Danio rerio: one gene and its partners. The protein of the gene in region 2 binds, or shares a complex with, the protein of the main gene of each other region. Links are inferred from orthologs where the notes say so. Each region holds a gene or a part of one and is shown on either strand. Other genes may lie near its edges.

Region 1 (6,360 bases), on a different chromosome or scaffold from region 2:
CTTTACCTCAGTTCTATTATAAAGACAAATGCAACTTTTAAATTTACTAATGTATTTAAAAATGCTTCAAATGTAGTTTTCATTGTAAGTTATTAATGAATTAACACATGTATAAACAAATGGAAACTTATGGAGCACACAACTTAGCAGCAACCAGCTTGCGAAAAATACACATGGCCCCGTTTACACTAATACATACTAGTTTTAAAATGGCATTAGAATGAAAACAATCCACGTACACAATGGCGTTTCATCCAACATTTCTGAAAAGGTCTCTCCGTCCACACCACTGAAAACGCACATCACATGAACACACACACACAAACAAACTCAGTCATGCGCTGCAGCGTCTTAACCCAGTGAGCAGTGCACATCGAACTGTTTATCAAGGATGTACCACTGGATCGCGTCTCACTATAGTTGTTAAACGTGATAATTAGACTTCTCTCTGTCTCACCACTTTTATTGTATTTTAACAGCTGTGTTCAAAACCATTGTTTGAGCAAAAAACTACATTACCCATGTTGCTGTACTGAACATTCCATTAATCAGAGAGGCACAGCAAGAAAAGTGTATTAAGTGATTTCTAGCTCCACCCACATATAAAACACAGAAACAGAAGATATAATATAGATATAGGGCTGGAATGATAAACGATATTATATCGAACAGCGATAACATTTATGTCAATAACAATGATAAGCTCTGGATTTTTTAAGAGCCGATAATGGCCCATTTCCAATGAGTGGTACGGTACGGTGCGGTACAGTTTAATACACTTTAATGACCGTTTCCACTGTCAAAAGGCATATCGAATCGAACCAGAATGAAAACAAAGGAACTGCCATGTTTTAAATACACAGCCGAGAGATTACAGCATAATATATACATATAATAACGAGCCATGGTCGACCCGAGCTCAAACAAACCTTGTCATCATCTTGATGAACAGCCACAATACCAATAAAAAGAGCAGATTTACAGTGGACTATTTGACACTGTAATTGATCTGCATTTATAATCAAATCATGTTGATGGAAAAGTTAGTTATAAACATATATACAGAAGTATTTATGTGTATAAAGCGTCTGTTTTGTGAGAAGTGCTTCTCATATGATATGTGAACGAAAGATGATTTCTTGAGCGAAAATGACGTCGACTGAAACTTTCTGTCATACACCACGCCCACCAAAAGGGTACCCTTGGTAGTGGAAACGCAAGCCTGATAAAGGTGACCCGTACTGACCCGAACTGTACAGTACTGTACCAGTCAGTGGAAACAAGCCATTAAACCACAGAAATGTGCAACAATGGAAATCTAAAAGTGTGCTGATATTAGAGATGTATTGAATTTTCAGCAATGCTGGGCCAATGAACTATATTCTATCCAATTGCGATAACATTTATGTCAATAACAATGATAAACTCTGAACTTTTTTTACTTTATATTGATCTAAGAGCCAATCACACAGCAGAAATGTGCAACAATGGGAATCTAAAAGTGTTTTGCAAATAGAAATGTACTGAATTGTTGATAGGGCTGGGCAAATAAACAATATTATATTGAATCATGATAACATTTATGTCAATAACCATGATAAACTATGGACTTTTTTACTCTATATTGATCTAGGAGCCAATCACACTGCAAAAATGTGCAACAATGGAAATCTAAAAGTGTGTTGAGATGTACAAGATTTTTGGACACTAAAAATATATCGGCCAAAAATATATTATGCCATTTAATGGACCCTTAAATTTTTGTGGCTTCAGTAATTGTTAGGGGTATTCTTTTAAATCTGGAAGCCTAAACAACTTATATCGTAATATAAGATAAATATAAAATAATTATTGAGATTGCATTTTTGCCATATTGCCCAGCCCTAATAGGATATATATATATATATATATATATATATATATATATATATATATATATATATATATATATATATATATATATATATATATATATATATATATATACACTTCAAAGAATACCATGTTTGTACACAGTGTACATTGGGTACTACAGATGGCAATTTAATGTCATCTAGCACTAACTCTCCCAGGACTGGTTACGCCAATGGCTTCCACCATGCATTCAGAATGTCTGTATTTACGACAGGATAAAGTAAGCATAAAATTCTACACAAAGACACAAGAGCAGTAATGTTATTGTAGGCCTAATATTTTCTGCACTCCTGTCAAGCTCAAGTTGCCAAACATAATTTGAAGCTGTGCAAACCTGAACTAAAGCACTATAATAACACATTAATAACACGTTAGAATAACACTATAGTAACACATTATTCATTTACATTACACTAGTATTCTCAGATTATTATCATTATGTAAAGTCTTATTTACTGTACCTAAAATCTTGAACCCTGTCCTGTGCACTGTTATTAGTTTTCAAAGCATGCACATTTTCTCACACCATCATGCAAAAAAGCTTATGTGATGTGTATACAACAATATTATCAATTTATTTATTGTGTTAATCTAAAACCATAGATAAATACATACATAGATACCATGTGTATATATTATACATATAGTATAGACATACGATTTTAGCTTTGGGTCACATGAATTGTGTAACGTGTAGGTGTACAGGCTCCTCAGCTCTGTAGCGCAAGTCTACTACTAGTTATAGCATTGCTTTCTCTTTATTAGTTACAGCATGCAGGGTTAATCGTCCCATCACTGATTCAAAAAGAAATATATCAATACATCAGCTTATAAACAGGATGTTGTGTAGAATTAAGTTTACTTTAGACATGTATTTGAGTCTTCATATATATAATAGTACAATTTAACTAATTCAACAGTCTTTCTCAAATATGTTCCACTATAGCCAAAATTATTCATATTCCATTTAAGCTGTTAGCGAAATCTTTATTTCAGGTATATATTTTTACAATAAATCCAACAAAAACAAGATGTGCAATCCACAATGTCAATTACATGTGACCATGGATCACCAAATCAGTCTTCAAAAATTTCCAAATATCATAGATAAATTAATACATAGATACCGTATTACTATATTAAACATATTTAGACACACGATTTTACCTTTGGGTAACATTTTAAAGTGTGTTTTGAGCTCAATTGTGACCAAAATACAACGTTGTGGAGACGTGCTGGGTCAAGGTAGGCAGTCGTGGTAGTTACCGGAGGGAGATACAACCTCTCAGGTTAGGAAACCCGGCACAAGTGCTATGCCCCTTTATGAGATATTGAAGCTACAGTCTCATATTCCTGCCAAATACAAACACGTCTCCTCACTCGGAAGGTCCCCGTCTCTAACAGATGAATGTAAAGCAATTTTTGGCACTGAGCCCGTGTGGCGTCTGCGTGCCGCACGCCGAAAAAATGTGTCAGTGTGCACAAAGGAATCTAATGGAAACTTCACGGAATGTGCATTGATGCAACGGCGCACCAGACATAGCAAATGTTACGCGCAACTAAAATGTCACGCTAAAACATGTGTTTGTTTCAGGATTAGCATTGATGTTTCGTATTTACAATGTCATTTCTACAATCTACGTTATCAACGCGTGCGATGTAACCATTAAAACACATTGTGTTAAATTGTAACATTGGCTAGTATGCAGCTAGACAGCCAGTGTTGTCTTCTGCATGCTCATTTCATTTGGCATCGCATACGTGTGCAAAAAAATGTTCGAGCATCATCATCATCATCATCGTTTGTCCAGAGAGTCGGTGACCAGTGAACTCTGCGATTCCATTAGCAACAACTGTAAGTTCCTAGTGATCAATACCGAGCAGGGACGCCGGGTCAACATTCTCAACATTCCTCCATATCACTGTGCATATGCAGAAATGACACCCGAGACTCTGCACTTTACAACGTGCCACATTTGCCCAGATGACAAAATGTCGTCGCATGCATTATGATTTATTGCATTTCAACATGCATTGGTAGTTTGAGCCTCGCCGGCATTTTATACTTTTTAAAGGTGTTTGCATATTTGTGAATAAGAGCGAGCGCTGTTTGTTGCATGGCATGCATTAGTCAAAGCATCAAAATAGAAATATTTTTTACTTACGATTTCAGAGGATTTTGGACCACTGTGGCCATTTTGATATAGAATGATACAATGTAAGACTGCAGATCCCCGGTATTGTACATGTAATATAGCAGCAATTTCAATTTCATTCATTCTCTGGGGCTGCGGCTGGATCGGTCAGCCAATGGGAGCGCGGCTGCCTGATGGTCAGTGCGGGGAAATGTAGTTTTTATTCCCTGAAGCAGTCGGGACTCGTCGGCGCGCGTGCTACAAATACCACAATGCACCGCGGTTAACTGTATTCTAGTCCCGCCTTGATTTTGTGTGGGTAAGCCAAAACATCTACTGTAAATTCAAGGTTGGATTGCTGGACTGTCTGTCAGTATTTTTTGTTGCCTCATGTTGGTAGCTTCTTTGATTCGCAGAGGAATAGTTTCAGAGTGATTGCAGCAAAATCAAGCCGTTCGTTCTTGTGTTGTATATTTCATCTTTGAGATTAGCAGATTTGGGTAGTCATTGGTCATTATTATTTTATTACACAGCATTTTTCTGCATGTGTGCTATGTTTAGTCAGATGCATGTATATTTGAATACACATTTTTTTCCATTGACTTCTGATGGGTTTTGTGCCTGGGCTAAATAGTATAGTATATTATAAATATACTATAAACAGTATATTTATATCTGAACCCTGATCAATCTTTTCTGCATCATTTATAACAATTATTTCACCAATTTATGTATTGATTTTATGGTAAAGCAGTTTTTCTCATATATACATATGGTTGTTACCAAATGAATAATTAATCCTACAATACTATACCAGCTGAAGAATCACGATACCAAGTAGTATTGTGATACTGTAATTTATATGTCAAATTGTCAAAAATAAAAGAAAATTGTCAAAAATACTATATTTTATGTTATAATAGGCCTACTTGAATTAAATTCATAATTACTTTAAAGCCAAAAAGTATTATTTGCACCTCACTAAGATATATTCATTCTTTTGGTTTATTTTGTAGATAAACTGACCAACAAGAATACATTAATATAAAGATACAAATGATACCAAATGAAATTTGTTACAAAAGTGCATTTTTTCCAACTAAATTAGGCTATATGAAGTGGTCCAAAATTCTTTACTATTTGCTATTTTGGGTTTCAGGTAACAATCCAAAGTAATTCAAAACGTCACTTTGTGAGATGTGTTTTTAAAGAGATTGTTGCAGTTGTTGTAGCTACTAAATTATATTAACAGGAACAGAAATGACTCGATGTGCGTTTGAGCTGAAGCGTGAGAAAACGTGCAATAGGCTACCATATAAGGCGCAAATTCTACTGTTTTGCAACCTTAAAGGGCTCCACAGACTATTAAAATAAAATGGTCTATTGTTCCACAAGCGTGTGAGCATTTTAGTGTCTCTACGACATGCAACATTATCTATTGTAGCTAAACCATTAATGACGATACTACCGTTGACAAACTACAGTGGCACCATTTTGAAGCCACAGTATCACGACACTACCATAGTACCAATAAACCGTGCAACCCTAATATATATAAATATATATTAATAATTTTTTTTATTATTATTTATTGAGGTTAAGTAGGTTTTTTATTCTCACATTCATTCAATATTGTTTACAACGCTAATTTGAATACTGGGTCTGAAATTACATATGACTTCAAAACAACATCAGCACTATTTACTTGACTGTGAACAATGCTGTACTTTGATAGTCATTGGCTGCTAAAATGATTTCGCCACTTAGAATTTGCAAATAATACTTTTCTGAAATTATATTATTAAGCAAAAAGTCAGAATGTGCAAGTATAAATCCAGCTTTACCCCAGTATATATGTATTTTGAGGCTGCTCGATATTGGAAAAATCTAACATTGCGATATTTTATATGAATACAATTTCAGCAGATGACTTAAATAGCTCTATTTGGAATGAAATCATTAACTTTGATTGAAATAATCTTGCAGAGGAGAGAATCAAAGATATTGCAAAAATAAATAAATAAGATAGAGCAAAGATAAAAGTGAAATAAGTAGTCAGATATCCAGGTATTACGATATGATACAACATTATCATGATGTTTTTCCCGATTGTGATAGATCACGATCAATATATCACAAGAAAACCATCCACAATATATCATGACATTAGTAAATGAAGTGGGAAAATGCATCAAAAAAGTTATTAGATGTATTTCTTTTATTAACATCACACACAGTTGAAGCCTGAATTATTAGGCCCCGTTTAAATTGTTTTTTATTTTTTCGTTTTTTAATATTTCACAAATGATGT
Region 2 (6,261 bases):
TTATTAATGCACAGCCGCGAGTCACGGAAGCTTTCATACTTGACAAACTCGCCATTGTACTGTTATTTGCAACCACAGACGGGGATGTGGAGTAGACATCTGTCATGACAAAACATATAAAGCAGTCAGCGAGTGGAGTTGCTAAATGAATGAATATAATAATACATCAAATGACTTTGTTGTGGATAAATTTGGGGAAAACTCATGAAAAGATTTGGTGAAAATGTTCTCTGGTAAGTATTTCCACCATCTTGCCAACAACATGTCGTTGGTTCAATGGGATCTCGATAACTGCAAGTTACGCCTCTAACTTACTACATGTTACGTCCCTTCATCTTACGCCCCCGTCTTGCAGTCCGCAGACAGATACATTTGGGACTGGGCAATAAAATCTGCATCGATATTTATTGACCGAACAATTTAGTGTGCAATTTACCATGATTGCCTCGGAGTCGCCAATGGAAATAAAACAAACACACACAAGAAATACACGTACACCAGACATGAAGTTGGCCTGGACCAACGCACATTCTCACATTCATTTCATCATTAGTAAATCCAAACGTGAGCATGAAATCTGGAGTACGGTCTTTTCTTAGCTTAGTGTATCTGAGCTTTCTTTGCCACCATAATAAAGTAACGCTCATTGTTTATTTTTTCGAAATATCAATATTAATCTATAGTTACTGAAGCAAATCAGATCAAGATTTCTAAATCCAAATGACCGCTTGTGATACTGAATCTAATCTGGGCATCTGAATCAGTATCTAGCACTGGGTGCAACATATTTATGTTATTATAATGTTATTATATTTCATATTTTAACTCAAATTAAATGCATTTATAAGTCAGCAATCGAAGAAAATGTATTCGCTTGGAAGGAAACTAACAAAAAGGAGTAAAAAGAGAAGCACACAAGACCTTTTTTTTCCTGACAAAATTTTTTTATATGTATAAACAATATGTGTTTCCTTTATTAACCTTTATTTTAAACTGTATAACTTGCCAAGGTGTCAAGACGCTTAAAGTGTCATACAAAATCTGTCAAGAATGAATGGAAGGCTTAAAGGCTATCGGGTTTCTTGGCATCCCTTACAGTCTGGGCAGACCTTGGGATTACCCTGGGCAATCCAGCGCAAATGTTCTTCATGTGCCACTATGAAAGCATGGCTAATCTGCATGTGTGAAGGTCAGAACTGCTCATCCATACAGAGAAGCGCCTGCGGCCAAACAGCATCTGATCGCATAAGATGCAGAACTGGAGAACTGAAAGCGGGCAGCTTTAACCTCTTGTGGAAAAACTATACGAGGAAATCAGATTCACTTGAGTATTTGGCGACACAGATTCTGAATTATGGAATAACTCAAAACAGAAAATACATATGATCAGGTACATATGAAATATTTGATTTTAAGGCACCAAATGACTGCATTAATAGTTAAAGCAAAACAAACATTACCAGCATTTATTGTTTGACAAAGAAACAGCCTACAGCATTTAGCTGAATGAATATTAATTTATGCTAAACTATTCCAATAGATTCATCAGCTTTTCCTCTAGACACGCATAAAAACATATTAAGCAGCGAAGTCAATTTATCACTAAAATCGAACATGAAAACTAGTAACCTGAATAGCTTGAATGTATAATCCAAGGTGATAAACTATTGAAGCTACCTATAGACTGTTAACATCTGACTCAAAACAAAAATACTAGGATGTTAAGACATTATATTCATACTATTTTGGATATTATTGTTTTTTTACATTATACACAGCCTAGCTAGACAGCATTTTAGGCATCAGTATGCTGAAGTCTAGTGAGTCACCTACCTAGACAAATACTAGTTTAATGTTGTCACAAAACCCAGTGAGCTGCCTAGGTTTTGAAATACACCAGCCCGCCTTATCATATCTTATAAATTAAAAGATTTTCGTGTATAAAACCATGTACAGATAGCCTAAAGAAATAACAGCAAGTGAGTGTGAGGTGAATGTGAAAACATTAATTACTGCATAATGAAGTGAAGCCAGACGGGCGCAATGGCGCTAATACAAGCTAGCAATGCTAATCAGTAGCCCTGTGCTCTGAAAACGCCGTCTAGCACTTAGTTTCAGACAGACAGTGCTAACCGGTAACCATACGTCAAAAACGAAAACGAATTTTTATATGGAAAGAATCGTTAACTCAATTAGTCGCTTTATTCGAGTGAATAAAAAGCGTTAGCAGTGGGTTTTTTACTTAGTAGCAACGCAATGCTAGAATCTTCCATCATTGAACTGCACCGATCGAGATCTTTAGCGGAATCGCAGCCGATCATGTGTTCAATAACATGACACGGATTTAATAGTGATTATGCTTCATTGTTTTACTGTGTATACGAACATAAGCCGCGCTGCATATCCGGTTGCTGAAATAGGAATCTTTCTAAGCATATATGAAGTCTCGGTGCAGGCTAACACATGCTAACACTGTTAGCACAGTCACCTTGGGCAGAACTTGGCATGTTCTGCTGCCTGTCAAGCCACAGACAAGCCCAAAACTGGGAAATAACAAAGCCTGATCAACATCAGCATGTTATTTAACTGTTCATGCACGTCACGTGCATTCAATGAACGTAAACTAATACATTCCAAGCTGATATTAAGGGTAGCATCGGGCCACAGCTAGACCTGCATGCGAAACTTGAACACACACACATAAGGAAAGCTAAAGCGTTCACCTGGGCTCTGCTGTTGCCGTTGTTCCCGGGGCTCATTGCCGGGTGGTTTCTTTGTTGTGCTGCCCAGCTGTGGCTGGCAGCTGGGCTGTACGGGGAGCTCATGTCTTTGCCCAAACCCATACCCGACTGCTGCTGCTGCGATGGCGGGTTGCTGTAATCTTGATAGCCGCCACCGTATCCCCGCATCATCGGACTCGGGGATGTCAGGAGCTGGTTCAGGGTGGGTGTAGCTCCAGAAGGGTGCTGTTGGTTTTGTCCGGGAAACCTCTGAAAGCTCCCAACATTGGCACCAGGAGCCGGGGTGGTCGAGGCCATAGCAGCCTTGCCATGGCTAGCAGCAGCAGCGGTAGGCGAATTGGTACCTGGGCCCATCATGTTCCCCTGCCGCGACGGGCTCATCATACCGTATCCAGCGCCGCCGTACCCCGGCCGGTAGTTGGGATAGTGGTTGTACGGATTATTATGGTACCCTTCGTGGGAGTTCTGCACTTGATCCATGTTGCCCGGTGCCTGATGTATTAAAGCCGTCCTAGGGCTTTGTTGTCCGCCATGTTGATCAAAGCAAGGCCCTCCTCTTCCATTCCCGTAATAATTATTAAACTCAGAAACTGAGCTGCTCCCGCTTTGGGACGCGCTGCCTCCGCCGCCGCTGTTGTTGTTGTTGTTATTGTTGCTCGCTGGTCCAAAGTTGGAGTGCTCGTACCTGCTGCCCATTCGATCCCCCCCGGTTTTGGACGAGCGATCCTCCTCGTCGCCTGTGTTCAGCAAACGCGGATGGCGATCGACCTGCGCCTCCAGAGCGTCTTCTTTTCCTCCATGCTGCGGATCTGCGCGGTTGCTGCTGCTGTGGATGGTGATGGAGATGTTGTTGTTGTTGTGCGCGGCTCGCTGCTGGTGCTGCTGATGGAATGCTCGCGACTGTTGCTGTGGAGGTGTGCGATGATGAGGCGAAGGAGGGGGATCTCCGCGTCCAACATTTTTCACTTGATGATTCGCGACCAGACCCGTTTCCATACTCGAAGTCGCGTTTAAACGAGCATTAAAGTCTGTAGGTTTATTTCCCCCAGCGTCTGTGTTTTCGCAGACTCTATAGCCGCACGCTGCTGATGCCCATCTACATTATTCATTGGGGTAGCGCTGTGCCATCGTCTGCCCCATATCGCACAGTTTTCTCCTCATTCACGCCGGTATAGCTATATATATGTGGGCTTGCGATTTGAGGATGGAGCGTTCGCCACCGCTGTCCTGTCAGTGGGTGAATGTGTGCTGGGCACGAGCTGTGAAAACAATTACTGATGCGTTTGAGACGAAGACAAATGACACCAATATGCGTTTAACTGGTACTGCTCTGAGGCGAGCGGAGACTTCAACGCATTTTCGCAAACTGGAAAGTTTATTTCTAATATCAAACTTCCCCATTCCCACAGAGGCAAATGTGAGCGTGTACAAATGTGCGTATAAGACCCCTGCCGGAGCCCCTTTGCTCCAGCATGGCATTATCGAGCATCTCCTTCAGCTCTCTGCGCAGAGTCTGCTGGAAAACACGGCGCGGCCGGTTAACAATTTTGGATTTCCTCACATCACATTTTAATCAATCTCATCTTTATTAAACATAAGAGAGTTCATGTGACTGTTGGACCAGTGTTTGGACCAAAGGGACCCCCCCCCCCATAAAGTGGAAAAACTAATTATTCAGGGAGGTCTGTTTTTTTTTTTTTTTTTTTTTTTTCATTAAAACTTTTTTTTTTTTTAAATAAACTTTTATTTAGAAAAGAAGAAATGTACAATATAAATCAGGAAGTAATATGTAGGAGACTGGAACACAAGTACATACAAATACAAAGTGATAAGAACAGAAAGTAATAGAAAGAGAAAAAATTAAATAAAGAAAAGAAAAAAGAGAATAAAATAAAGAAAGGGGACAGTACAAAAGTAAATAAAAAACACAGAAAGTATTAAAAACTAACTTACTGGAAGCATGATATTTTCATAAGTTTCTATTAACTTGCAGAATTTTTGCTTTAAGCAAGAAATCAATTTCAATTAACAATTGGCAAATGAGGTAAAGGATTTCCGAAATTTTGTTTGTGGATACAATTTTTTGCATACCATATAAAAAGTAATATATATATATATATATATATATATATATATATATATATATATATATATATATATATATATATATATATATATATATATATATATATATATATATTCTTCATGGCGAGGCAGTGGCACAGTAGGTAGTTCTGTCGCCTCACAGCAAGAAGGTCGCTGGGTCGAACCTCGGCTCAGTTGGCATTTCTGTGTGGAGTTTGCATGTTCTCCCTGCCTTCGTGTGGGTTTCCCCCACAGTCCAAAGACATGTGGTACAGGTGAATTGGATAGACTAAATTGTCGGTAGTGTGTGAGTGTGTTGGAGATGGGTTGCGGCTGGAAGGGCATCCGCTGCGTAAAACGTGCTGGATAAGTTTGCGGTTCATTCCGCTGTGGCGATCCCGGATTAATAAAGGGACTATATAACAAATAATATCTTTCAATTTCAAAGATTTGTTTTGTTGATTGTAATTTGTTTAAATAAATATATAGATCTGACCAAAACTTGAGTAAGATTTTACATGTAAAAAACATGCGAGTCGAAGTTTCCTCATTTTCCTGACAGAAAGGACGAGTAACTGCAATATCAGTAAATTTTGAGATAAATGCATCGACCGGGTATATTTTGTGCAGAATTTTAAAATGGACTTCCTTTGCTTCTTGGGATAACATATTTATATGGGAGAAGCCATGTTCTTTTCCAGTCAATATCTTCTGTTAACGCTGACCAATACGATTTCCCTCTTGGAGCAGTTTGATTTTTTTTTTTGTTGGAGAATTCGAAGAGTTTGTTGTTGCATTTCTTATCATATACACTAATACCTTTTAATAATAAGAAGGTTGGTTCTTTTATTTATATATGAAATATGAATTTTTGTTAGATGTATTAATTGTTTTGGGCATTTTTTTAAAAAGGTTAAATTTCTTAAATGGGATTGAAAAATGTATGAATGTTCATAAATTATTCGTTTCATTAAAAACTAGGATAGATATAATTTTGGGGCATCGCGTCAAAGCAGCACCACACAAGATTTGTGTGCATTTTTTGTCACAATTTTGTAATAAACTCATCTAAATTAGTTAATTTGATTGTTTTTGAAGTTTTTATTTTTAAATGAAATTGAATCATGTGACGCAAACTTTTTTTTGTGGATGATTTTCATTTACAGATCACTGCATGATGCATTGAGGATTCTTATGTTCACCTTAAGTCAGGACGACAGTAAGATAATTGTTCTTACAGCTATAGTTGGCGGTTCAATCTGCTGTGGTGACCCCTGATAAATAAGGGACTAAGCCGAAGGAAAACAAATGAATGATTGTTTATAACCGCTGTAGTAAATTTACAGACTGAAAAAGCCTTTAACGTTCTGAAAAGTCACAAGGTTATGGTCTAGCGCAGGGGGGTTCAAACTCAGTCCTGAAGGGCCGGTGTCCT
Region 3 (6,319 bases), on a different chromosome or scaffold from region 2:
GCATGATCCGTCATCACAGACTCTTACATAGCTTTTTGTTTTAATCCAGGCTCATCAGACATTCTGCAAGAAGAAATCTATGAAAATAAAGTGATTGACCAGTGTACTACTAGACGACTACTATCAGCCCTTTCACACATTTAACCTTTTCTGCAAAATTGCCAGCAACTTTCCAGACCAGGATCATGAGAACAGCCCTCATTTTGTTCAAAGAAATAGTTCACCCAAAATAAAAATAGAAACAAATCGTACTTATAGTCCAGTGGTTCTAAACTTCAACAAATGTCTTTCTTCTACTGAACACAAATCAAGACACAAGGAGTCTGAAGAATGCTGAAAAAAAAAACAGTCATTGACATCCATAGTAGTAGGATCAAAAATACAATACTATGAAAGTGAATGGTTGTTTTTTCCATCATTCTTAGTCTTCTTTGTGTTCAACAGAAGAAAATAAACTTTTTAAAACACCTTTTTAAAAGGGATGGTCATTTTGTGTTGACTTTCCCTTTAAGACACTGAACAATAGTTTTTTACTCAAAACTTCTAATGATAATAAACCTTCCTGAACATTAAGAAAGAAGTTAAGTCGCTTGTTTCTTCCAGCTCGTGTGAATCGTTTATAACAGATCTTTGAATAAAAAAAAACTGTAATGTCTTGTTTCTCATCTTAACACTATTCCAAAAATGGTCTGGAGGCTTTCACGCTCGTTCATTGGTCATTCGACATGTAGAGAAATGCTTTCAGGCTGTGGTTTTGACATCACTTCCTTCTGACTCATGCTTCTCTGTTTCACTGACTTGGTTTGTTTACTAAAAATACATTATTAAAACATTCACATTACTTCTTCTTCTACCTCGAGTTGAGCTTCAAACATGCTGACGTCGCCAAAATTGTGATGTCAGGACAAAACCAGCGAAATTCCAGAGCTCACTATATCAGCATTATTCTAATGTGCAAAGAATGTATTGAATGATTAACCAGGATTGAGCATCACTGAACATTAGTGCAGCTCCTATCCACTGAAACCGAGAGATGAGGAAGTGCCATCACCCATAGCTTGTAATATGCAAAAATAGTTTGAAAGCAAGTGGCAGCAACATTCACAGTGAATGGGGAATGGCATGTAACCATAGCAACGCAAAATTCATATTAATAATATGTTATGCAAGAAAGCTGCTAGCATATCGCTGCAAGAATGAGCTCTGAAGGTTTGGTCATGCAGTTAATTCGATTATTTGTGTCAATGTGTTGTTATTATTGTATTATGAAGCGACATTTGCAGTTAATTCAACCAACGCCATGCTACGATTCTCTCCTAACGAAAGAATATGAGATATCGAGTCTGCTGCAGAATGAAAGCTGGATATAAAGCAGAGAAATAAAGCCACAGTCAGATAACACAGCAGAGAAAGCAGCTGTCAGACATTCTTTATAGCTGCGCTAAGCTTTCATGACTTCCTGTTAGGGGTCTATCGGTCTTATTATCATGTCACTCGAAATAAAAGCTCGACAAGACAAACGTCGCGTGTTAGCGTTGCGGACGTACCCCTGTTCCGTTATCACAAACCACCACTTTTCTTCCTTGGCTGTCCATCTTTCAGAGACCCAGAGGAGCCGTCAGAGGAAGCCGAACTTTCTCAACAAAGTGCTTCTAGCACTCAAACAGCAGCGCAGGGTTTCACTTCCTGTTCCAGACAGTTGCGCGAGAAGACAAGCCTGTTTTTTTTACACAAGCCCCGCCTCCTACGCTGTTTTTTTTTTATAATTGACAAATTTTATTAAATAAAAAAACATTTAAAATGTCTTATCAATTAATTAAAAATAAAAATAATAAAAATAATAAATTTTTAAATTTAATACAAAACATAATTTTAAAATAAATGTAAAACATTTTAAATAGTTTGTAATTAAAATAAACCTTGTCCCAAAAAGTTACCAAAATAGACGTGCAATTAAATAATATTTAGTTTTCAATTTTTTGTTTTTAGAGATAGGAACACTTTGTCGCGTTCCCATTGTGCTAGTTTCCAGCCGGAATGTGACGCCCTTTCATTCGCAGAATAACAACATGGCAGCTGTTCTATCGCCGAGACCGTGCGATAGCAATCCTGCAACTCCTGGGACCCAGTCTATAAAGGTTTGTGATGTTTACTTACTACTTTTTCTTAGCAGAAGCTGCAGATATATCACTCTAGCAATGTAAAACTGTACTTACACCTGTACAGTTTCAGCGTGAGTGTGACGTACATTCGCCTTTGTTTGTTTACCATTAGCCTGTTAACGTTAGCCGAGGTAGCTGAACAGGCCATGCATTTCGAGTAATATTTCGTAAATTGATTAACACAGAAAAGTGGACCCGCAATGACTTATCTAGATGGTTTTGAACAGTCGTTTTTAGTTTATTGGCATGGTATAAACAATCACTGGCCACTTTATTAGGTACACCTTATTTGTACCTGGTTGGACCCCCTTATGCCTTCAGAACTGCCTTAATCCTTCGTGGCATAAATTCAACAAGGTACTGGAAATATTCCTCAGAAATTTTAGTTAATGTTGACATGATAGCATCACACAGTTGCTGCACATTTGTCAGCTGCTTATCCATGATGTGAATTTCCCGTTCCACCACATCCCAAAGGTGCTCTGTTGGATTTAGATATGGTGTCTGTGGAGGCCATTTGAGTACAGTGCACTCATTGTCGTGTTAGTCTGAGGTGATTCACACTTTATGACATGGCACGTCATCCTGCTGGAAGTAGCCATCAGAATATGGATACACTGTGGTGCATGTCAAAATTAGCCACTGAACAAATGTGCGAATATTAAACTTGACCTCAATTTATTTAATGTTAGCCTGCGAATACAGAAATCTATGTGACAGACTTTCTCTTCAAACAGGATGACATTGAGGAGAACTCCAGTGATGGGAGTCAAGCCCCCAAGAGGCGCAGGATGGGCTCAGGAGACAGTTCCAGGAGCTGTGACACTTCCACCCATGAGCTCGGGTCAGCACAATACACACACACACACACACACACACACACACACACCAGTTACAGGTGTTTTTTTTCTGACACTGGTCTGTAAATTCCCTTCAAAATAATTTATGTAAATAGACGTTCTCTCAAAAGTGAACTTATTTAATATAATATGATATATTTAGGATTTTAGCAATTCCATGCAGAGATTAGGTTTACGCCAAATTAGTGAAGACCTTTCAGTACTGTACAAATACACAAAATGTCTGTAAAATGTAAAATTCAAACAGTATTTTTTGTTTATTGTTTTCAATATTGCATCTATAGCGCATGTTTATTTTTCACATTTAAAGTATAAAATAGCTTTCTGCCAACCCGACTCTACACCATAACTTTTCAATCCAGATGGATGGGGCAACCATTACTGCATCCAAAATGGTGAAAAGCATTGGAGTAACGATTGAGGACCAACTAAACTTCTCTGACCCCATTTCTAGAACTGCTCGATCGTGCAGATTCGCACTCTATAACATCAGAAAGATCCGACTCTTCCTATCTGAACATGCAGCTCAACTCCTTATTCAAGCTCTTGTTCTCTCCAAACTGGATTACTGCAACTCTCTATTAGCGGGGCTTCTAGCTGACTCTATCAAGCCTCTTCAGCTGCTCCAGAACGCAGCAGCATGAGTGGTCTTTAATGAACCTAAAAGAGCACATGTCACTCCGCTGCTCATCCGTTTGCACTGGCTGCCAGTTGCTGCTCGCATCAAATTCAAAGCTCTGATGTTTGCTTACAAAGCGATTTCTGGCTTTGCTCCTTCTTATCTGCTCTCACTTCTGCAGATCTATGTGCCCTCCAGAAACTTGCGTTCTGTGAATGAACGTCGCCTCATGGTTCCATCCCAAAGAGGGAAGAAATCACTTTCCCGAACTCTCGCATTCAATCTGCCCAGTTGGTGGAATGAACTCCCTAACTGCATCAGAACGGCAGAGTCACTCGCTGTTTTCAAAAAACGAGTAAAAACTCAACTATTTAGTCTCCACTTTACTTCCTAATCTGCAATTGCCTCTCTGGATATACCACTAACTGTACTCAAAAAAAAAAAAAAAAAACTTTACTAATACTTTCCTTCTTAGACTTTACAGACTTACTTATTCATTGTTGCTCTTATAGTTGTGTAAATTGCTTCCTTGTCCTCATTTGTAAATCGCTTTGGATAAAAGCGTCTGCTAAATGACTAAATGTAAATGTAAGCTTACAGTTTGATATTTTAATCTCTTAACTCTGTGGATAGTTGTTTTGAAAAAGATGTTTTGATATACTGTTATGATGTATATTCTCTGTGAATTTAAGCTTAAATTTTCCTGCAAATGTCACCCCCATAAGGCTGAAATTCCTCACTTGTGTTTCTGTTTAGAGACATTTTATCTTAAGAATATTAACTTAAACGTCTTGTGAAGTGCTCTGAAATAAGCATTTATATTCAATGTTTGACGTAATCTCATCAGAAACACAAAGAAACGCAAAAAAGTGTGGCACACAGCCGGGGTATCTGTAGGGTTTAAAAAGACTTACAATCTCTTTAATTTCAAAAACAACATTTTAGGTCTTAAAAAGTCTTAAATTCACTGAAGTATTGTGCTGTAGCTCTTAAATCTTTTTTAACAAATTAAACATTTTCTATGTCCATGTAAAGCTACCCAATAGGGCTAACACCCATCCAATCACCAACTTTCCATCTCAATACATTTTTTTTTACAAATGATTATTTATCTCTATATACCAATATGGTTTCATTATCTTCCTTAAAATAGCATTTGTTTATATCTAATCTAGATATAGTCTAATCTAATAGTCAAAGCTGAAAACGTTTTCTTGTTTCCAAATGGTTTAAATGAAACCTCAACTTGAAATCTCTTGACTATCCTGCGATTTGCAATAGTCATATTCACACATTGCGAAAGCGATGCTGAAATTATGTATTGTGCAGTCCTAGTTTAAAATAATAATAACTTAAATAATTAGTTTTCCCATAACATTTAAGCATTTTGCAATAGTTTACATTAATAGTATAATTGGTTTATCATAAATGATACATGATTTGTTTTTGTTGTATACGTTTTTTATTGCACTTTAAGGAAAAATAATGGAAAATTCTTATATTGCACATGCAATTCTGGACTGAGAATGTGTGTATGTGATTGTATGTGTGTGTTTTGACCTTTGCTGTTTCATTACAGACCAACATACTTCCCTGCTGAAAACCTGACAGAATACAAATGGCCTCCGGATGACACGGGAGAGTATTATATGTTACAAGAACAAGTGAGCGAGTACTTGGGAGTCACGTCATTCAAGCGCAAATACCCAGGTATGAGTGAAATTGCACTGAGGAATTTGTATGTGCTTGGTCAAATGGGTTTCATTTCCAGATTAAATTATGAAGAGAAGATTTGTTGTGTGGTGTAAACATGTCTTTTTTTCATTCTATTCCACTTCATGTACTAGAAATGGAAAGAAGAGACCTGTCTCACAAGGAAAAACTTTATCTGAGAGAGCAGAATGTCATTACTGAAACACAGTGTACATTGGGTAAGATGTTCATAATCATAGTTTTGCTTCTTGTTCAGCCTACTTATTTAGAATGAGCTGAAACAACACAATTCTGGAGGTTTTTTTACTTACTTGTTTTATGTTCAATCTACTTAAATTTGTATTGTTAACTTAATGGGACGACATGAAATAATTGTGTGGAACCCAGGATTTTTTACAGTCCAAGACTAAACTGAAGTTGAATTTTTCCACAGGTCTCACAGCTCTGCGCAGTGATGAAGTTATCGATTTAATGATTAAAGAGTATCCAGCCAAACATGCTGAATATTCAGTCATTCTCCAGGAGCGAGAGCGGCAGAGGATAACTAAAGAGTACAACGTCAGCACTCTTAGTGTAGTGAGTATACACATGTTACATGCTTGACTGTGAGTTATGTATTATTCTATATAATATTTTTTGTGAATGTAGCTGCAATTTTATTCAGTAAATGGATCAAAAGTGACTTTAGATCACCTGAATGAATTCAAATGTAAGATACAGTGGGGGAAAAATATTGAATACGTCACTATTTTTCTCAGAAATCATATTTCTAAAGGTGCTGTCGACTTGAAATTTTCACTGGATGTTATAAAACAACGAAAGAAATTCACGTATGCAAGGAAAACAAACCTAATTAGTTTACAAATGAAGTTATGTGTAATAAAATGAAATAACAAAGGAAAAATATTGAACACATGAAGAAAGGGAGGTGTAGAACGGCAGTGAAATCCCAGACAGCAGCTGAA
Region 4 (6,329 bases), on a different chromosome or scaffold from region 2:
ACTTTATTTTCCACTTAATTAAATGTCCTTCTGTCTTCTTGTATTAATGAATTATGATTTCCAAAACCTGTAATTAAACAACAGGGCTACAGGTTTAAATATACAGACAGTCTAAAGCTTTATCAGGCGTATTTAGAACAAGAATCACTTGATGGCATTTAACACCTCTATTTATGGACCACGGCCCATATAACAGCCTATTTAATTAATTATAGATTTTGTATCGCGCATGTCGCATAGGTCTATATATTTCACTATATTACACCTATAAACCTGAGCCTACACTATTCTGGCTACTTGAGCAGAAGTTAAATTAATTCAAATGTATTCAAAGTACAATGTCAATCACAATGTCAGTGATCCTGCATGTCAGAATATTATTCACGGGATTTCTGTGGTGTTTTTCAGACTGTTTGTTCATGATAACGATTTTACTGAAGCGCATGACAGTCACATGCGCGCGCAAACACCGGAGCCGAGACAATCACGACGTGTCTGCGTGTGTGTGTGTGTGTGTGTGTGTGTGTGTGTGTGTGTGTGTGTGTGTGTGTGTGTGTGTGTGTGTTGGTTTAGGAAAAACCTGGATGCAGGTGTTTCCTGATAATACCACACACACAAACACACACACACAGAGAGAGAGAGAGAGAGAGAGAGAGAGAGAGAGAGAGAGAGAGAGAGAGAGAGAGAGAGAGAGAGACGCACACACGCGCACACACCTAGATTATTATAAATGAATCATTGATTATTATTGATTATATATCAATGCTAAACTGTTGATTGTTTAATGTAGTTTATTCTGATATATTATTATTTTTAATATGATATTTTCACTTATTTAATTATTATATCTATATATAATTTTTTATACTTCTACTACTGTTTGCTGTGTTTATTGTGTTTTTTAAATTTATATATGCATGTTCTTTTTTTTTTTTACTTTATAAATGCTTGGCAATACATTTGTCATGTCAATAAAGCGATTATTGAATTAAATTTAATTGAGAGAGAGATAATACAATTCAGTTCATTTTTAGTTGTATAGCGCTTTTACAATGTAGATTGTGTCAAAGCAGCTTCACACAGAAGATTATAGTAAATTGAAACAGTGTAGTTCAGTTTTCAGTGTTTAAGTTCAGTTCAGTTTAGCTCAGTTCAGTGTGGTTAAAGATTAGAGAGAGAGAGAGAGAGAGAGAGAGGGGGGGGGAAGAGGGAGATAGAGAGAGAGAAAAGTTAATTGCATAACAAATAATAATAATAATAATTGCATGACAAATGTTAAAAATGTTTCGCCAGAGCATTTATAAAGTTTACATTAAATTTAAAAAAACATACATATATAATAAAAAAGTTAAAAATAAAAAAATTATAATATATATATATATATATATATATATATATATATATATATATATATATATATATATATATATATATATATATATATATTCTTGTGTATCATATTCACATAGATCAATAAAAAATAGTAATATATCAGAATAAACTGTACATTTAACAGTAAACATTATAGGATAAAACAGTAATAAAATCAATAATAATCAGTATTTTTACAATGATTTACTTATAATAATTTACACACACACACACACACTTTCTCTCTTCTCTTACATAGTGTGACCGCAATAATCAGTTTCCACTGTTTCCTCTGAACAATTAATGTGGCAAATAAACACTTAATAAAAGAAACACTTTATTTTACACAAATTAATATTTTGCACCATATAGGCAACTGCTTTATTACATATTTATAATTTTTCTAGCCATTTATGAAACGATGCTTTATGAAATTAATGCTAAACAAAATTTGTCTGGATTTATTTTTTTGGGAAACTTGCTGTACTCCGTGCATATGATTCGTGCAGCTGTTTCCGTCATCTAGGATGCGAGATCATGAGAATAAATCAGCTTTACAATAAATCTGATATCATTGTGTTCCATCATATGATCAATTCTCGTATTCGTCATTAGTCTAAATAAACGGCGGGAATGTTCTGCAGCAGCACGTGACAGCGCGAGAGGCTACCGGACACTGGCCGGTTACCGTCAGCAGCGCGTGACCGGTGACAGCAACAGCGAGACGCGCGTGCGCGTGCAGGAATAATCGGTTCCGTTATTTCCCCATCATACCCTCAGTGAACCGAACACACGACCTCCCGAACACACCCGGTAGGAGCGGCGGGTCCGGATCAATCCTCACGCGATGAGCGGCGGCGTGTACGGCGGAGGTAAGAGCGATCCCGCATCACCATGACAACCGCATCCGCGAGCCGGCAGCATCAGCCTCAGCGACGTTACGGTACAGTGTGGGGAAACAGTGTTTACACGGTGCGACACGCAGGAAATACACGCTTTTACCATGGTGAATGTTAAAAGCGTGTCTCATCAGCTCCTCCGGACACTATGATAGCATGAGGACTTGCTCTTCCAAGTTGTAGACACTGGGGTGTGTTTAACAGCAAAGCACTAGCCATATTTCCGCTTCAGCGTTTAAAAGCTTGACGTTTAATTAATAAACCTGACTGCTGATTCTTCTTAAGATTCACAGGGAACACCAGAATAAACCCGTTACTCATCATTTTAATCATGCACTCTAAAAATGCTGAGATGTCAACCATAGGTCTAACATGGACAAACCCGACCACTGGGTTATTCATATTCCACTGAAAAAGACGCTGGGTTTGTCCATATTTGACCAAACACTGGTGATCATCTATTCAAAACACCTGTGTTAAAATGTCATGTTAAGAAAATAACTGAGCAACTTCTGCTGAAACTATTCTGCTTATCTAATTTCACACACACACACACACACACACACACACACACACACACACACACACACACACACACACACACACACACACACACACACACACACACACAGTAATATCAGATCAGATCTGGCTGATGGTTTATAATAGGGCTGCTGGCTGCACGATATATGGTCTCAGTATCGATATCACCATGTGTGCATCTGCAATAGTCACAACACACACACTGTCAGAAAAGATGGTAGGGGAGCGCAGGGCACAAAGTAACGCAGGGTTAAATGCAACAGAGTTTTAAGGTATTTGCTCAGGGTTAACCATGGCATGCTTCCAAGGTTTCACCACACTGTCAGCAGACGTCTTCCTGCCAATTCTTGAAAAAATTAGGCAAAATTTGGATGAGAAACACTACATAAACCATTTTTGCAGCATAAAAGTATTTTTTATTAAAGTCAATATTTTTTTATTTAAAAAAAAAACCTGTGAAAGTATGTCAGAAAAATCTTATATTGTTGTGATCACCGTCTTCTAAAAGATTAAACCATTTTGAAAGATGTAAAACACACACAGTGACTGCGAGCCAGTTTTGAGGAAAACATGACACAGAAGGGTAGTTAGTTTTAACGGTGTTACAATTAAGCCACACACTGTTGGACACCTATTAAACCAACAAAATATATATTTTTTTAATTTTGAGTGTGATGTTGAGAACTTTTTAAATAAAACAGCTTTTTTTAATATAACATTTTTTTATTTAATAGAAAAAAATATTTTATCGCTAATAATGCAAATAAATGCATTGTATAATAATGAATAAATAAATAATAATGCAAATTCAAATGTGTTTATCCAATAAACAAATAAATGAAAATAAATAAGCATACTGTGCTATGTAGAATAAAACAGAAATGAGCCAACTATTGAGGAAATATAGCTATATTATTTAAAGTAAACTCAATTTAAATTATGTGACGTAGTGGCGCAGTAGGTAGTGCTGTCGCCTCACAGCACGAAGGTCGCTGGGTCGCTGGTTTGAACCTCGGCTCAGTTGGCGTTTCTGTGTGGAGTTTGCATGTTCTCCCTGCGTTCGCGTGGGTTTCCTCGGGGTGCTCCGGTTTCCCCCAGTTTGCCCACAGTCCAAAGACATGCGGTACAGGTGAATTGGGTAGGCTAAATTGTCCGTAGTGTGTGTGTGGATGTTTCCCAGAGATGGGTTGTGGCTGGAAGGGCATCCGCTGCGTAAAAGCCTGCTGGATATGTTGGCGGTTCATTCCGCTGTGGCAACCCCGGATTAAAAAAGAGACTAAGCCGACAAGAAAATAAATGAATGAATTTAAATTAATTGTGAAATCTGCCTTTAAATGCATGTGTTACATCAAACTCCCTGTCTGTTACAATTTGCTCCGTGGGTGGGGTGAATTGTAACGTTTTTACTCCTGGCACTTTTGGCAATACTGCACAGAAACCACAGGTCTGGTGATCATAATTCCAGTGCTCATTTGTAGGAGAGGCTTGTGTGTTATTGGTAAAAAAACATGGTTTGTCTAACCCCATTACTTTGTTTATTATTTGGCCAAAACCAAAAAGTGTTACTTTGTGCCCTGCTCTCCTCTACAAACCCTTGACACTGTGCCTTTTTATGAGACAGAATTGTAGCGTAAGACAAAGAAACACATTTGTACCATTGCAGTTTGCACCTTTAAGGACGTCGTTTGTACCATGGGAAAATAAAATGTCCCTTTGGTTTTTAAAACCTGCAGATACAATATTGTAGCTTCATCAGAGGTACAAATCTGATCCATGAAGGCACTACTACAGTGACAAGACAAAGCAAACCGTAACTGTCAGATGTGTTCCTTCAAGAACTATTTAAAGGTGTTTTGCTTTATCCAAAATGCCTTAATTTATTCATTTATTTATTTTTTTGCCCAGTTAGTCCCTTTATTAATCCGGTGTCGCCACAGTGGAATGAACCGCCAACTTATCCAGCAAGTTTTTACGCAGCGGATGCCCTTCCAGCCGCACCCATCTCTGGGAAACATCCACACACACACACACATTCATACACTATGGACAATTAAGCATACCCAATTCACCTGTACCACATGTCTTTGGATTGTGGGGGAAACCGGAGCCCCCGAAGGAAACTGCCCCGCGAAGGCAGGGAGAACATGCAAACTCCACACAGAAACGACAACTGAGCCGAGGTTCGAACCAGCGACCTTCTTGCTGTGAGGCGACAGCACTACCTACTGCGCCATCACCAGACCTCAAAAGTATCAAATAATAATAACAATAATAAATAAACAAACAAATCAAATAATTTTACAAAGACTTCAAAAAGCATGACAAAAGTTAAAAAATGTAATAATTTCATAATAAAAAGTGTACAATCTCAGTGAATTAGCTACGTCAGTGGCGCTGATCAGTCCACAATAATTTAGTGGCTGAATATTATTCATTTATTCATTTATTGAAATATTGTGAATTCACGCAAGTACATTTAGATTAATAATATCAACAACTAAATCATATTGGGGTGGCCACAGGGGGTGCCCCTGATCTAAACTCTTCATAAATGTTTCCAGGGCCGGAGTGGGACTCCTTTTCAGCCCTGGAGTTTCAAGCCTTACGCCCCATTCACACGAGGCTTCAGCGTCAACACTTGACTGAAGGCATGTCTGAAGTATTTTGCATACAGTCTGTTTGTATTTGCATACAGCAATCTGATTGGCTGACGCTTCCGTCAGCGCTTGAAAAGTTGAGCTAGTCCCAACTTCTGCAGCGAGCAACGCCTCTGAAGCGGCCCCGACAGATCCACAATGCAGTTCGGCAACGCCTAATGTCAAAGTGAATGGGAAGCGTTGATGCTGACGCCCCGTGTGAATTGGGCCCACTTCAGTGCAGTATCTGAGTATATATTCTGTGCTAAATTCTTTATGGATATCCAGTCCTTTTTAACGGTGGTCACACACACACACACAAAAAAAAAATATATATATATATATATATATGTACACCTACATAAGTAACCCAAAGAGTATTATACAGTATATCTTAACAATAATAAAATAATAATAATAATAATAAGTGAAGTTTATTCATAAACTAATTTCGAGAGGATCACGTGATTATGATTGAACACGGCTGGTTTTGCATTAGTATGCATGATCCACCAATCAGGCCAATCCTAACCCACTATAAAGAGCCAGGGTTTCTCACTACAGTCATCTTCGATTTAAATAATCCCCCCTTCCACCCTTACCTCTTCACCTTTCCCTCCATAGGGCGACACGGTGGCCCAGTGGTTAGCACTGTTGCCTCACAGCAAGAACGCCACCGGTTCTAGTCCTTTAACAGGCCAGTGGTCGTTTCTGTGCATAGTTTTGCATGTTCTTCCCGTGCTTGCGTGGGTTTCCCCAGGTCCTCCGGTTTCCTCACACATTCCAAAAACATGCAAAACAAGTGAACTGATCAATGTAAATTTTGCACCACAGTCAATCTCCCACCCTGCAGGATATCTGTTAATAGCATTCAATTTTT

Evidence for each region. The genes of interacting proteins can lie anywhere in the genome.
Region 1: arid1b (region 2) and dpf1 share a complex: the UniProt entries of both Homo sapiens proteins name them as parts of the neuron-specific chromatin remodeling complex. The link is inferred for Danio rerio from reciprocal best matches to the Homo sapiens genes ARID1B and DPF1.
Region 3: arid1b (region 2) and phf10 share a complex: the UniProt entries of both Homo sapiens proteins name them as parts of the neural progenitors-specific chromatin remodeling complex. The link is inferred for Danio rerio from reciprocal best matches to the Homo sapiens genes ARID1B and PHF10.
Region 4: arid1b (region 2) and actl6b share a complex: the UniProt entries of both Homo sapiens proteins name them as parts of the neuron-specific chromatin remodeling complex. The link is inferred for Danio rerio from reciprocal best matches to the Homo sapiens genes ARID1B and ACTL6B.

Annotation. Positions count from the first base shown.
Region 1 is NC_133190.1:16,401,625-16,407,984, forward strand, and holds the start of dpf1 (zinc finger protein neuro-d4), read right to left. Parts: upstream 4,268-6,360; 5' UTR 4,190-4,267; coding exon 4,080-4,189; intron 1-4,079. UniProt on the Homo sapiens protein: May have an important role in developing neurons by participating in regulation of cell survival, possibly as a neurospecific transcription factor. Belongs to the neuron-specific chromatin remodeling complex (nBAF complex).
Region 2 is NC_133195.1:5,199,080-5,205,340, forward strand, and holds the start of arid1b (AT-rich interactive domain-containing protein 1B), read right to left. Parts: upstream 4,209-6,261; 5' UTR 3,738-4,208; coding exon 2,724-3,737; intron 1-2,723. UniProt on the Homo sapiens protein: Involved in transcriptional activation and repression of select genes by chromatin remodeling (alteration of DNA-nucleosome topology).
Region 3 is NC_133188.1:6,007,679-6,013,997, forward strand, and holds the start of phf10 (PHD finger protein 10), read left to right. Parts: upstream 1-2,052; 5' UTR 2,053-2,069; coding exon 2,070-2,138; intron 2,139-2,899; coding exon 2,900-3,006; intron 3,007-5,220; coding exon 5,221-5,351; intron 5,352-5,488; coding exon 5,489-5,572; intron 5,573-5,787; coding exon 5,788-5,930; intron 5,931-6,319. Other genes in the region: actr2b (actin-related protein 2-B), read right to left, coding at 1,548-1,595. UniProt on the Homo sapiens protein: Involved in transcription activity regulation by chromatin remodeling. Belongs to the neural progenitors-specific chromatin remodeling complex (npBAF complex) and is required for the proliferation of neural progenitors.
Region 4 is NC_133198.1:48,258,348-48,264,676, reverse strand, and holds the start of actl6b (actin-like protein 6B), read left to right. Parts: upstream 1-2,062; 5' UTR 2,063-2,218; coding exon 2,219-2,243; intron 2,244-6,329. UniProt on the Homo sapiens protein: Involved in transcriptional activation and repression of select genes by chromatin remodeling (alteration of DNA-nucleosome topology).